Linked DNA regions of Caenorhabditis elegans. The protein of the gene in region 2 purifies or fractionates together with the protein of the main gene of each other region. This does not show direct contact. Each region holds a gene or a part of one and is shown on either strand. Other genes may lie near its edges.

Region 1 (5,868 bases), on a different chromosome or scaffold from region 2:
AGAAATTTTTCTCAAACCGTGAGAAATTCAAATTAAGAAATAAGAAATTTGAATTTTCTGCCAGCTGGTTTTCCAATGTCAACTCATTTGTATTCTTATCAACCATATCCTCCTATACCATTTTCAAACAAAGTACCAACAATCTTTGATCTACAAATAGGAACAGCATTGTTGAATCCAGAAGAATCCAATTTTGAAAAAATTAGTCTCAAATCACTCGATTATCTACACCAACCAGTTTATGATTTTATAGAGATGGAGTTCTGAAATACTTGACAGTAATGACTGATCGGTCGTTTTCTGAGACGGTAAAAAATAACAACGTTCAGAAACAGTAATTCTATTTTTAGTTCAACAGATTTTTTATTCTTGTTGTTTCATTCTGTAAAAACGAATTTTTACAGAATGAAACAAGAAATCTGTAAGTTGAAACAAAAACAAAAATTGTGCCCTTTTGGTAGAATTGATATGGAAATTTTTATTATTGCTTTATTAGACTCAAAATTGTCTGAAAACACCGAATTTCATAATGAAACTTCATGAAAACTTCTCAAAATTCAAAACTAAAAAAAATTCGAAAACTTTTCTTTCAATACCATCTTTAAACTATTCGTGTTATTGGGGATTGTGGAAATAAAAAATAAGTTCGAAACGTGCTCTATCGATAATGTGTCATGTACTCCCCGAGAAGAACTTTAATTGAAGACTACAAACAAATTGCCTCAATAACCTCCCAAAAACTTGTAGATTTTCAAGATTTCCAGTTGAATTTAAACATTTTGACAATCTTTGAGTGTTAATGCAGATTTGAAATACTATATAATGTTGAAATACTGTACTAGTACTAAATACAAATGAGAATTGGAAAACTTTTTAAGGTTGATTTATACAATTATTATTGTTGAGAACTGAATAATTGCCATTTTTTCACTATAATTTCAAAAAATGTCAGCTAACAAATATTAGACACTGACTGAAAAGAAATTATTAAATACTTGCAAAAAATTAGTTTGGAACCAGTTTCAGGATTGTGTGCCCTATTAATCGGTCAATGTCAAATTTTTGAGTCAAACTGGATGAGCCATCAGCGAAGAGTTAAATCAAATTTTTCACATCTTCTTGAATTAATCAACATTAATTAAAAGTCATCATGATTACTAAAGCCTCAAGCTATGGAGGACGAGAATACATAATTTTACAATATACAAAAAAGAAAGAGGATGCTTTTCCAATGAATTATTCCTTATCATCTGCCTCAGTCTTCTTCTTCTTTTTCTTCTCACTCTCCCAATCACTTGGAACGTCCTCCATAGTTGGATAGTCCGTCTTCTTCTTCTTGACACCATCAGCAATCGCTTTTTCTTTAGAAGTTCTTTTGAAGACTTCTGGCACAATCTCCTTCTTTGGCTTCTGATCCTCATCCTTCTTATCTCCTTCCTTAGCTTCTTCCTTTTTCTCCCCATCCTTAGCATCATCCTTCTTTCCTCCTTCCTCCTTCTTCTCATCTCCACTATTTTTCTTCTCTTCACCTGAATTCTTCTTCTCCCCTTCCTTCGACTCTTCCTTCTTTTCCTCCTTCCTTTCCTCTTCCTTCTTCTCCTCTTTAGCTTCCTCCTTCTTTGTGGCGTCCTTCTTTTCCTCCTCCTTTTTCTCTGGAACTTTCTCCTTTGGTTCCTCTTTTTTCTCCACTACAGGCTCTGCTGGATGCATGTTGGCTGTAGTAGAACCCATTGTGGTGGTTTTGATAGCCGACATTGCTTTTGTCTTGTCCTCCTTCTTTTTGTTCTTTGCGCCCTTCTTGCCACAGAGATGGGCAGTAACTGAAAAATTGAATTGTAAAGCTCCGTTCGACTGTTGTAATTTTTCAGCGAAAAAATCCTGATTTCAAATTCACGCAAAATATTACTATTAGCGACTTTTTAAAGCAGATATATTTGCACACAGCTTTTTTAAAAATTATCCAACTCACCGACGAGAGTAAAAACCAATACCAATAGTTGGGCCAAGCCATGAATCTCTGCTAAGGAACTCATCGTACGTTAGAAAAGAATCGAGAAATGAATTGATCTCGACGATCTTTCGTTGTATGAATCTCGTTATGAGAGAGTTTTTGATTTTTTTTTCATTTTAAATGGGAAGTCAGATTTCACGTGGTGATAAGCATGACAAAGTTTATTTTTGAAATTAATTTTGGTGATAATTTTTTTTAAGTTAAAAAAAGGAAAAGTTTTTTTTTTATTCGTCTTCCCTATAATGAATATTTCTGTCAAGCCTATAGGCTTGACAAAAATGTTCTGTTGAAAAACCTGAATTTTTGTACCAAAATAATGAAAACCAGTACGTGCATTTTAACAATATACAAAAATTTAAAACTCCATCGGTAATAATCAAGTTATGAATTTTGTTTTGTACAATGTTTCTTACAATTTCCTTCCGTGGTCATTTTGATCTTCATTTTGACATTTTGACATTTTGACAACAATAAACTCAAAATGCTGGAAAAATTGTAGAGATCTAGTACCAACCATTCTTGGTTATTTTTCTCATTATTTTATTAGAGTAAATATGTTTCAAGCCTTGCCGATGTGTCGGCCGTGAGTTTTCCAATTGCCATATTCTTCATGAAAAACTGACGTCATATAGCTTCTCCCACTCAAATATTGACAGTTCGAACGTACATTCAATTCATAAATGTATCACATCTTTCTATCATATATTTTCTTCATATTCCATTCAATATTTTCCCATTCGAATTGGTTTTGTCATTTGCCCTGGCAGTTATGGGGGCGTCAAGCAACGGAAAATATAAACTTTTTTTCCATTTTCATGACGGTTCATTCAATTCTCTGCAGAAAATTTTTTCTTTATTTTCCTTTGGTTTGAAGTTAATATTTTATTCTGATCAAATTGATTTAGAACAGTTATGTATATTTAGAACAATCATATAAATCAAATCTTAAGTTAGCTATACTTATTTGTAATTAAAAAACAACAGGTATAACTTCCGCAAATTCTTTTTGGGAATAAACTAGATGAAATTAAAAACAATCCGTGCTATGATTGTGTTCAATTTAAATAATTTATGTATGCAACTTATAAAATGTTTTGGGTAAATTGAAAACTGGAAGTTACACCAAAGAATATCAAAACAATGTTCCCATTGGAAATGTCCACAACAACGGACTATTTTCGAAATTTTTTGTGTTGAAAGCACTCGATTTAAAGATTTTGTTTTTGCTTTCTATTTGTAAAGGGGATCTAGCGTCAAAAGGAATTTCGTATTAAAATACCCAAAATAGGGTAAAATTTAAAAGATACCTCAAAAGAAAACGAAAAAAACTTGGGCAAGAATGAAAAATTTAACATTTTAAAACGTAATTGCCAATTTTAAATTAAATGGTTTTCATAAGGTCCCTCAAAGCGTACGTGCCTGCCTGTCAATGTGCTTACCTATCTCCTATCTGTCCACATTTTGGTATTTGTAAGTTATAGATTTACGTGGCACAGCTGAAACTCTTTACAAGTTTAACATTTTTAGTTTATAGTAATCATTTATTATAAAGTTGCAAACGTTTCTACACAAGAAGAGGCTCGCATTTAAGACAGACATAAAAGCGGTCTTGGTTCTATTTGGAAAGCCTGAAATTTATTTTAAACATTTTTCATTTGAAACAAACAACTGATATTAAAATGTGCTAGACTGTGCTCAGTTGGACTTAAAATAGGCACATGATTATTTGATTTGTAATTCTAGAATTTTCACTGATTTCATAGTCATACTTGTTTAGATGACGTCGTTTAACCGTCATTTGACATATCTTTTTTTCGGTACTCGAGACCTTTCGATTCGTTGATCACTGTCCCAAATTCTCTGAAAGTCGTTGTCTGATTTGCATAACATAATCCATTTTTCTCTTCAAAAAATCAAACGTTGTTCATGTCCATGCCATTTCAATTTCTCTGAAATAACTAGTCTATCTGTTGTCATTCGATCTGTATTTGGTCACTTCCTATGGTTTTCGGGTCATTTTCAGACAAACTGTTGTATTTCGAATTTTGATGTATGAATTCAAAAATAGAATCCGCCTTCTATTATCAGTCATATTTGTTTTCATTATTCTCAGTTTTCAAAATGAGTTCCCTCATGTTTGACTATAAAACCGCACGTTTTCCATTCATTCTTGATCATTTCAAAACATTTATGCATGTATCATATCCTTTTTTAAACTTCTCTATTACAATTTCCAAAATTTATAAATATTTTCTCTAATTTTTTAGCAATCAAATAAAAAATGACACGAGCTCGAAAAGTTCAATGGGCGGATGATGATGATGAGACTGTGGAGAATCAGAAGATATCCTCATCAAACTCAGAATGCCTCAAAAAATCTAATTCAATCACAAAGAAGTTGGTACAAGTCAGAAATTATAGTGGATATGCTGAATCACATGCTGATGGTAATTTTTTACTCATTCATCCAAACTTATGACATTTATTTAAATACCGTTTTTTTTTGAACTCACAATTTAAGGATTCGAAAGCTGAAAAGCACCATTAGGAAGTTTATTTAAATGTATTAAAAAATAGGACAAAAATCGATCAAGCGTTTGGCAAGTTGTCCATTTTTTCAGAGTTTTGAGAAATGTTGGGCATATCGTGAAAAAAAAAATTATTTTGTTCGAATTCTAAAATTATGTGAGAGAAACAGAGTAAGCGTGACGTTTTGACCGAAATAAAAATTTTCTTTCAATTACATATATTAGCATCATATAATCAAACTATTGTACTTACAATTAGCATCAATAATTCTAAATTTCTATTCAATGTTTCAACTCTTGTTAATGAAAACAAGCAACCTCAAGCACATAACAATTGTCCAAAAATTAGTATTACGCTTTTCCGTCTACTCAGCCTAGGTACCTGCCTACCTACCCTATTTCTGTATTATCCTAAAAATGCCTCCTAAAATTAGCAATTTTCTAATAGAAGAAATACGGAAAAATTTTTTGTAATGTAGCAATCTTTGGAGCACTTGCTGCAAAACGACAAATATCAACAAAATGACCAACACCACGGAAGTATTAAACCGATATTTTTTAATTTGTTTCAAACTAAAACTGGTTTATGTTTCTAGGAAATAAAAATTTAAATTTTAGAGAAAATCGTAGAATCATCTCCTGTTCAACGGAAGACTCGAAAATTCGACAGAAATTTGTCAACAGTTCACGAAGAGGAAGATGATGTTAATGAAAGCAGTGATGAAAATGTTTAGATTCTATAAATTTATTATTTTATTAAAATAATTGTGTCTGCAAATACGTCGATGTGAAAGTTGTTTTTCAATATGACGCCATGAATGTTATCATGCGGAGTATCACTGTTTTCTTACTTGTTTTTCATTTCCAACGATAATTCGAAAATAAATAACAATATTTTGTACATTTGAACAATATTTGTTTTATTCCTTTTATTCCATTTTTTGCAACTTATTTATTTATTTATTTTGATTTTTGCTAGAAATATAAAAATTATGAAGCTGGAAAAATGGAAACACGAACATATTGTTTTATTAATATGTAATAAGCGTTTGGGACATCATATATAACAAAATGACTTCATCAAAATCTTGTCTCAGGACGTTTTGCCAACCATTCCTTCAATTTCGGAGTCTCGATTATTTTTTCACGAAATTCTTTTAAAAGTTTATCGTTTTCAATATCCAACAACTCGGCATTAATCAACGTTGTCAAATTATCAGCAATCACTAAATCTGCCCATGTTAATTCATTTCCAACAAGATATCCTGATGAACTTTTCTCGAGAATCGCTTTCAAGTAGGCAGTGTAAGTTTTGACTGCTGGTTTAAT
Region 2 (9,755 bases):
AAATATACAGGCTTGGTTTGATTTGGGAAAAACGATAGTTCACAGACATCGGAATGTATTATTTCCTCTGTTATTCCCAGTATTCTTGATTTCAAATTTTCACGGTTAGTAGATTCATCAGCCCCCATGGTTTCTGTAATGTTCTGTAAGTAGCTATGACAGAAACTGTGTCCATTCTGTTGTGCGGTATAACGATGTCCTTTTGACAAGTTCGTGGGAATCAGTGCCTGAAAAATTTAAGAAAAATTATAAAAGTTCAGATGATGCTCACATTTATGCAATGCAACAACTGATCGTGGCAATCCGATTTAAGCGTCATCAAGCAATCTTCGTTATGTGAACCACATATGCTGAGAGCGGCTTGTTCTTTGGGGCAATAAGTTTTGAATTTTGTCAACTCATTGCTGGCGAAACCTTAAAAAAACACTTGAAATGTAATATTTTAAAACAAATAACCACGTCTCCTCGCGAGCGTAAATAAATAAATTAATTAACTACGTTTATTGATTTGTTGACAAAAACTGGAACTTACCAAATAAGATCAATAGAGAAGGATTCAGCATTGCTAATATGTGATTCGAAAGTCACAAAATCTGAAATATTGAAAATTATTAGAAATTTTAAAATATTTTATTGTTATTTTACTATTTTTATGTACTTCAGGCCGAGAACGAGAGGAGGTTTGATTAGAGCACACATGCAACGATGAGTCAATATCAAAAAAAAGTGCATTACTTTATGGCGTGATTTTGCAAAATGATACATCTGAAATTAGTGATGAGTCTTTTCTGAGAATTAAAACAAATAAAACACATCGAATCTTTGTTTAATATTAGTCTGTTAACATTGTCTCGCAAAAATATACTAATTATTCCACTCTGTCTTTGAAATTTCAGTAGTTTTTCTTAATTTGAAAAAGTTTCCATCTTGTTTTTAATTTCGCGTTTCAAAAATCATTTTTCCGTAATACTTATATACATATTTAATACAAACCCATCTAATAACAAATTCGTGATCAGGTTCCACTGTTCCAAAAGCAGTTCATAGAGTTGGGTTGATAAATATCTATTTCATCTATCATCGTAGCGCTGAAAATTAACAAATAAGTAAAAATATTAGATAAAATCAATATGCAAAGGAGTTTCGATGATTATTAGTATAAATTTGAATGACATGCTATCATGAAAACACTCCTGCCTATTCAAATTAGACTCTTATCACCGGTATGCTTAAACGTATTCACTGTGTATTTTTCAGAAATTTCAATCATAATGCTGGACATTAGGAATATTTCTTTCCATTTTATGTTCCGTGTGTTCTCATTAAAAATTAAGGAAAAAAATGAAGTAGTTTTTAAAACAATTTTCAGGCTAATTTTTGTAAATTACAATAATGTTTTAAAGTTTTGAGATTCTTCCAAATTAGATTTGAGGGCATTTTTTACTGATTTTTTACTTTAGCACACTTAAAGTGATTTACCACATTTTCCCAAACGACAATTCGCAACCTTTTCGGTATCTAAAAAGCGGCCCGTATTATTTGAAGACCTTAAACATTGTGGGGAATACCAAAGAACTAAAAATAACTACTGAAATATTCTCAAAAATTGCTTTGTGAACAAATTTGAGAACTCTGCAAAACATTAAACAGACAAATTATTATATGTTCAGTTTCAGAATTAAATATGCATTGAACTGTAAATTACATTCTTAATACTGTTTCTAGTTTTTTTTTTCTTGGTTATCACTTTCAGTATGAATGATCTAGTCCATAGTTGTCAAACTTTCAGCTGTTGTGTTTTTTTTTTGAAAATCAGTTTTTGTAACCTGAAATTGAAAAATCATTTCGGTTTGGAGAATATTTATTTGTACAAATAATGAACTGGCAACAACTTTCATAGTCTTATATGGTTTCAGATGATTGTGCCAAACGGACACAATTTATCTGGCTCCAACCGTGATTTATAGACAAATATTGTAAGAATAAGGAAACCGGATGTCATGCTTGAGTATGTTCGAGGTGTATTATGAGATTTCGGGTTTGATAAATGTAAGGTTCTAACAATTAAGTACAATAGTACAACAGTTTTGAAACAACAGAAAATAGAAGAAAAAGAAATAAAAGTCAATTAAAATTAAAAAATGAATATGAACATGTAAACAGTTTTTTGTAAAAAATAAGAGAAAAATCAAACTGGAGAAACGTTTCTTGGCAAGAAAAAAAATTATTGAACTATTAAAAAAGGTATTAGTTTTAGAAACTGTTCAAGGTTCGGGCAATTAAATTTACAATAACAATGTTCTCATAAAAAATCCTAATTATTGACAATTTTGATACTTTTTGATTTTTTCTGATATTATATTTGAGCCAACGTAATGATTTTCAAATTTCTCGATTTTCTTTTCCAAAAAAATTGCATAGTGCTTCAAATTAAGAAGTTCCTAAAGAAATCTAGGATGGTGAAATTTTTCATACAATCTATACTATTTATTTACTAACTTCACTTCTATTCCTACTGAAGATTCAAGAAAGTTTTCCCAGTTTGCTAAATAGTAACGTGATACAAAATTCATTGATCCGTAATTGCATTGAGATCATTTTCAACTCTCGGTTTTTCGAGAGATTACGCCAAGGATCTCAGATTTACAGGTTTTTCGTATTAGGAATGTCGGTAAATTAGGTGTAGTGTTTGAGTTCTTCTTGCTGTTCAGCTTGGTTGTTTAATATTTTTTCAACATTTTTTTCGTTGCTATTATTGAGATCCGTGTAGCTAGAACTTATTGAGTTGATGACAACCAATTGCTGATGAAGAGGAGAGTTATCAGCAGGAAGAAGTCTATTTCCATCACCTTGATGTGGTGGCTCACTGGGTCCGGAATTACGTTTGCAAGAACGTTTCTCAAATTTCATCTGGAAAAAAAGTAATTTCATTCATGAAACAAGTAATATTCTTACCAGGAAAACAGCTGTAATCAAAACAAAAAAAATAATTCCAATGACAATTGCACCAATTGCACCAATTGTTTGAATGAACCCAGTCTCGGCAACTTCAACAGTTGAAGAATATTTTTCCAACTTTGATGTTGCATTTGTATCCGGATACAGAACTTTGACAATATTTCTGATTGCATCTTCACAAGTATAATCCATCTCGTTAATATCATTCAGACAAGTTGACAAACGAGTTTGACAGTCTCTTCCAAAAAATTGAATGCAATATTCGAACATGAACCCACATGAAGCAACAACACCTGCAGATCCTGTTTAGATAGTTTTTTGAAAAAATTTTTTTTTAAATTTTTGGTAACTTACTTTTCGATGCGCCACATTCCGAAGAAACACTATCAAAGTAGTCAAGAAGGCGAAGAGGCAATTTTTCAGATGCTTCCAAAACAAGAAAATCATTTTTTGTATCTGAAAACATATAATTTAAGTTGAACTAAAACCAAGAAACACACCTCTTCTAGTCATCGATCCATCAACAAATGATGTAAATCCCTCATTGAATCGACCCCTTATACTTGTAGTCGAAGAAACTTTGTCTGAAAAATTAAGTGGAAAAATACCCCTTTGACATTTGGCGCTCTGTTCTTGCCCACGTTTCGCCCAAAAATGTAAACTTGAATCAAAAGAAATTAACTTGGGTGAGAGTTTGGCAAAAGTTGGATCAACGTTGCGTTAAACTCGGGCGCAGCGTAAACTATGTATTGTCTTTTTATCGAAACTAAACATTTTTTGAGAGAAACTTGGACGGGATGACGAGAGATTTGTTTAAAAATTTAATTTTAAAAAAATCCATTTTAAAATTATCTGAATCTTGATAAACTCATATTAAAATTCTTACGATGTTCTGCAGCTTCCTTATAGAAATCCTCAGCTCTCAGTGATTTTAAGTTTTCATTAAAATCAACGAACATCTTGCAAACCAGTTTTTTTGAATCCATTGTTCCCAGTGTCATCTGAAAATTGGATAGCTTTGAAAATAATAATTAATTCTGTTTCTTTAAAACCAACAAAATAATTTTTAAAATTACATAGTTTCCTTCGCTGTATGCTTCATCACAGTCCTTTTGATCTTTTTGTTGGTCGTAGCAGTTGACACGTACAACACTATGATGATTGAAATCCACTAAAAATTAACAAGTTTCATAAAATTCTTAAAGAGTAAAAAAGTACTTACAAGACGCTTTATCACAAGTTTCATACGCCAATGACCTCATGATCACTTTTCCTATTGGTCCAAATTCAGTTCCAATGTACCAGAATGGATATGGTATGTGCAGTCGTTGGGCATTCATACTGTCTACTGAAAATCGGTCATTTTCTCTTAAAGTTAAATTTTCCAATAGTGAATCTAATAGGAATTTATAAAATGTTCATATCTATCGAGAATGATATTGAAGGTAGATTAGCCAAATCTGGGTTATTGCTTTAATACACGAACTGTCCGTAAAATTTCTTCTGTATGGACAAGTGTGCAAAATTTGAGATTTGTGTTGAAAATAGCCTTTTTTAACTTCGTGTCTCCAAAAAATACTTTTGAGAAAATTTTAAGAATTATTGCTATTAAAAGACTTGTTCACCGTTTTAATACGGTAACTACAAAAGTACAGAAAGTATATTTGACCTCAAAAAACCCACGTTTAACCAGAGTTTCTTGGAATGACGTCTTCGAATTTTGGCATGTTGTAGAGTTGAGCATTTGAGACTCGAGATTACGAAGAATTAAGTACTTCTGAACATTATTTAGATAATTTTCAATTATTAAAGGAAAAACTAACAAGAGTCAAGTTCAAAAGTGGATTCTGAGTGTCAAGTTGGCTGACAGCTTGATGTAGTTTTTCTTCCATTTCTGACACCACGCCACAATTTTTTAACAGACTAGAAAACGCATCTGAGAGTTTCATAAAAATTGCTTCTAGTTTATTCACAACTGTTTTCGTTCGATTTTCGGCGATCGTCTTTCGGTATACTTCTCCTTTCGTTCGCACCGACTGACAAGAGTCTCCAAAATGTTTCTGGCAAGTTTCGGTAGCTTCACTGACGTGTATACAAGTGCAGTAATCCAATTTGCAGTCCTCAACAGATCTCAATTGTCCAAAGCAATCCTCGTATTTTGGTACACAGAAATCAATTCGTTTCGAAAGATATGGACATTCATTTCGGAATCCTCCTCGGGATAAACTAGCTGGATAGAGAGCATTTGGGTATTTGATGGTGTTGATGGAAACTATAAAGAAGTTTGAGTGAATTCGTTCTTGGATTTCGCTGCTCTTCTAAATTTATCTTTAAAAGCAACAAAATTTCCCTCATTATCATTTTTCAGTTCATTTTTAATGCTACTAGTTGTAATCCGCTAACAGTCTTGAGTTCTGAAAACAATTGACAGTTCGTTCGTTCAAAATGTATCTGACAAGATATTATGGCTAACCATATTATTATTTACTCTAAAATATGTATTATTATTTATCTCCGAAATTTTTTTTAACAATTTAACTTACTGGCTGTGGTGGCACTTATCGCCAGAAGTGTAAGGAAGGCCAATTCCAGAACCATGATGGCACGCACATAAAAAGTGGACCCGGCGATGCTTTAAAGATGTTCCACTATCCAATAATGCGACTGAAAATCAATGTCGATATGAAAACGAGAATATGATAGATAGAGACGGTGAATGACGTGATTGTTTGCGAACGAACAGTGCAAACCAAAGTCACGGGTTTTAAGAAAAATTACTAAATTCAATTTGCAAGCAGGAAACATCAATTAAAGAACAATGTAACTTTGACAGAGTAACTATGGAAAAGAAACAAAACATAAAAAGCGCCTGCCAAGGCGGGAAAATGAAGAGTTTATCGGAAACAAACATATGGTTCCGTAAGAGAAAGAGCGAGAGAATGAGAGATAGAGAAAAACGATTTGAAATTGAGTGACCGTTTGAATTTTTAATAAAGTATTTGTTAGAAAATTAATGTAATTAAATGATTTCGATAGTGCGTATAAAATTAGATAGAGTTTTGTTGAACAAGCCTGATGCGAGTCCAAGATTTAGACTGCTCTGCAAACATTATATGAGAGGGCTAGACACGGAGTAAGATGAAGAGAGTTTAAAGAAAAAATGTGATGGGCGTCGCTCATAACTGTTGTAGTATGGTTTCTACTTATTGGCTAATATTTATGGACCATTTGAAACAGATATTAACAAATACTCACTTAAAAATAAATACGGAAAAAAGTACTACGAAATTACGTAAAATTGCGAAATTGATCGGGAACCGGAAAACAAAAATAAGGTATGAGATTGTGAGATAAGCTGCATCAAAAGAAAAAAGAGATCCCAGAAAAAAAAAGTTCTGTAAAAATGAGTTTCAATTACCGGTAAAAAGTATCGAAACAACTAAAAATAAAATTGTGCGCATTTGTTGCGGCTTTTGGACATTTCACATATCTATGTGGTAGAATGTCCTTGATAAAATACTTTTGATTTTACATGAAATGGGCGGGATTTGAAAGTCCTCGGTATGACGTGTTCATTAGAATGGCATAGGACAATTCATGATAGAATAACAATATCAGGATTTTGTTGTAAGTTCATCTTCAAAAATTATTCAGAAAATCCGAATGAATTATCCTCTAACCTTGAATAATCAACTAAAAATTAGCAACGTCGGGAAAATTTCTCGATAAGTTCAGTCGGTAAAGAATAAATTTGGATTTTTGTAATTTTGCCAATGTTCAAAAAAAAGCTAACAAAAATTCTTAATCGTAAATACACAATTACCAATAGTTCTCGCAAAAATGTATCTAGGGAATGTAGTTGGAAATGACATTAAGATCTGATTTTTCTAATTTAGTTAGGCATAGTTATGGTCTCTCTAATCATCGATATATATGTAGGTAGGGTTCACAATAGTAAGACTAATAGCAGCATTTAAGTATATTTTCCATTTTGAAAACATGTTAGTGTTATCCTTATAAACATAATAAGTACAAATAGAAAAAGGAAGGAAGAGGAAAATGAGTATGATAGAAGTAAGAAACTCAATAATGAGTCTGCAAACACTTGTTCAAGGTGCTTGATTTTTGAACAAGCCAGTTCAAAATGATGGGATACCGGGCGAACACTTCAAACTACGCGACTTTTTATATATATTTTCCAGTGATTAATCTATTTGTTTTAGAGTTACTTTGAAATGTATATAGGTGCTTCTTCGGATGAAAAGTTACGTGTAACAAATTTAATTAACACTTAGTCATAGCACATCCTAGCACATAGTAAAACATTTTGTGAAAACGAGTTGCTTTTCATTATCACAAACGTTTTTGTTTATGAAATTTATAAAGCTGTACAAGTATATTTTTCGCGAAATGAATAGTTTTTGCACTGAATGCTGATTTGAAAAATCCTTACAGAAATTAAGAAATTATATGATAATGAGGTAAAAACTCTCGAAAAACAATAAAGATCCACTCACTGTAATTTTAAAAATTTTTAACACATGCATACATATAAAACTAATATCGGAAAAAAAGAAAAATACACCATTCAAAGTTGAATAAAAAGCGATCCATCAAGGACATGTTTGAGTGAATAAATGTCAAGTTAACTGAAAATGGAGGCGATCGAGTTCAACATCAACTAGTCGACAATGCAACGTTGATTTGGCTCCACATTGGATTAACCTAATATCCGTTGTTTTTTTCAAATTGAGGCGGTGAAAAACAATAATGGAGGCAGAGAGATGTTAGAGATATTTTCGAAAAATAATTAAAACAACTATAAAATGTCCCAAAGCTGTAGTTTTGTCATAACTTTGTATTTGACTTTGAATGAAATAAATAAACCAGGAGAAAATCGAGAAGAAACTCATTAAAACGAGAGAGATTTCGCAATGACACATAGGTCATTAATCAAGCATGGCGATCGTCAATGCCGTTGAATCTTGTTTCTTTGAGTTTTTTTCGCAACTTTCAGAAAAATTTTGTTTGTCTATAGATATAAAGTAATAAAAAATCAACTAGAAATGACAATTTTAAAGAATAAGAAAATTATGATTTTATATCAGTTTACAGTTTAGGGAAACATGAAGTGCAATGAACATGTGTTATTGCCAAAAAATAGCGAGATAGTGCAATCCTGAAAGAAAAATATGAAAAGTATTACCGTTTCAGAAAATTTTAGTTTTTTCACAGCAGTGACTCCAATGATGTTACAAACACGGCCGATTGTATTGATGATCATCCTATCGGAGCAAAAATTTCGCTAATTTTTGTTTGTTCGACACAACCACTACCATATGTCTTCGCCTTATCAAAGGTCAAATGCTGTTAAGAGTCATCATTTTAATTAAAGATAAAAATAATAGACAGCGCAAAGAAAAATACAGGTATGTTGTTGACTAGAAAAATTGAAACGTTCTAGCGCAAAAACCGTGACTGGGCCAGTGGTTTTAAACATTGAATTTGTCAATTTCTTTGCAATCAAAGCTTGGTAAAACTTCACTAACTCCAAAATTTCTTTCGAGTTGTGCTTGTAGTTTATCGATTTATAAGCTTTGATTTTTTGTTTAAAAGTTAGTCTTGACGTCCGACTGCAAATAACGAACTTCTTATTTTGCGATAGCGTTTTTTTTTATTGCATCCGCCGATTTGAAAATCAAAGAACAATGTTAATATTTATTTTAACCGTTTTTTTAACAGAAATCAGCTATTGAAAGAAATCAGCTACAGAAAAAAATCAGTTTGAAGAAATAATTCCGACAACTATTTTAATTATGGCGATAACGAGTCCGCCAATGGGAGTTTTTCCAAATGACTTTTATACTTGAATTCCCGATTCTGGTGGCGTCTTTTGCAGATTGAATAAATAATCAGAATCATTCCAAAAATAATTATACCAATAAGAATCCACAATTGTTGCTGCACCATGGCCATGAAACTGTCGTTTGCTTTTTCAGTGATTTTAATACTACTCATTGCCTCAAAGTTTGCAACCCATTGGTGATACGGAAGGCATTCATTTGCGATTGATCCATATCCATTGTTGATAGCACCCTGAAAAATTTTTTTTTAATAGAAAATATATATAAAATAATTTTTATTTAGCATCTGTCAAGAAATATTATTTTTGAGCAAAGTAATTAAACTGCTCACCGAGTTACAGTTATCCCACTCTTTGAAGCATTTTGTATCATCCCCAAAATTTTCTTTGCATTTGTCATATACTTTGCAGCAAGTGTTGTAGGCTTCTAAAAATATTTTGCAACAAATTACACAAATAAAACAGAATTTCAGAAATATATGCCAAACGGCGCATAAAAGCGACCAAATATTAGATGAAACGTTTCTTCATTATCTAAATTTTTGTTTCAACCCTCTAGATTTAAAAATAACCAAAACTAAATTTTTAAAGCAAAATATGCATGCAGATTCCAGTAGGGAATTATTTTGAGGCTAAAATGATCGAAATTTATAAAAAATGTTTAAATGTTTTACATTACAATCAAAAGTTGTTAACAAACCTTTCAACCAATAGCATTTCGTCCCTAAAATAACTTGAGATGCATAGTTATCAAGTAAGTTTGACCCGCATTTCCACAGAGACTCGTCCTGCATTTTTGCCACTTTATTTTTGTAAGAAACACCTGGAATAATAAACTTTTCTTAATAAAAATGGGATTCGACTCACTCTTCTCGAGATTGTTCAAAAAATCTTGTATACCGTTTCCACATTTTTTTCCATTTTCAGATCTCAA

Evidence for each region.
Region 1: the proteins of C44H9.5 (region 2) and K08F4.5 fractionate together in Caenorhabditis elegans (co-fractionation; one large-scale study listed by BioGRID). This does not show direct contact.

What each region holds. Positions count from the first base shown.
Region 1 is NC_003282.8:10,133,832-10,139,699, forward strand, and holds K08F4.5 (uncharacterized protein), read right to left. Parts: upstream 2,087-5,868; 5' UTR 2,034-2,086; coding exon 1,970-2,033; intron 1,821-1,969; coding exon 1,237-1,820; 3' UTR 1,101-1,236; downstream 1-1,100. Other genes in the region: K08F4.12 (Ovule protein), read left to right, coding at 4,293-4,458, 5,158-5,273; gst-3 (Glutathione S-transferase 3), read right to left, coding at 5,620-5,868.
Region 2 is NC_003283.11:12,844,243-12,853,997, forward strand, and holds C44H9.5 (uncharacterized protein), read right to left. Parts: upstream 5,623-9,755; 5' UTR 5,557-5,622; coding exon 5,502-5,556; intron 5,231-5,501; coding exon 4,782-5,230; intron 4,736-4,781; coding exon 4,642-4,735; intron 4,307-4,641; coding exon 4,181-4,306; intron 4,130-4,180; coding exon 4,035-4,129; intron 3,960-4,034; coding exon 3,845-3,959; intron 3,543-3,844; coding exon 3,459-3,542; intron 3,415-3,458; coding exon 3,313-3,414; intron 3,261-3,312; coding exon 2,956-3,260; intron 2,911-2,955; coding exon 2,677-2,910; 3' UTR 1,849-2,676; downstream 1-1,848. Other genes in the region: C44H9.6 (DUF19 domain-containing protein), read right to left, coding at 1-227, 272-414, 533-563; C44H9.7 (uncharacterized protein), read right to left, coding at 8,773-9,054, 9,154-9,248, 9,522-9,644, 9,689-9,755.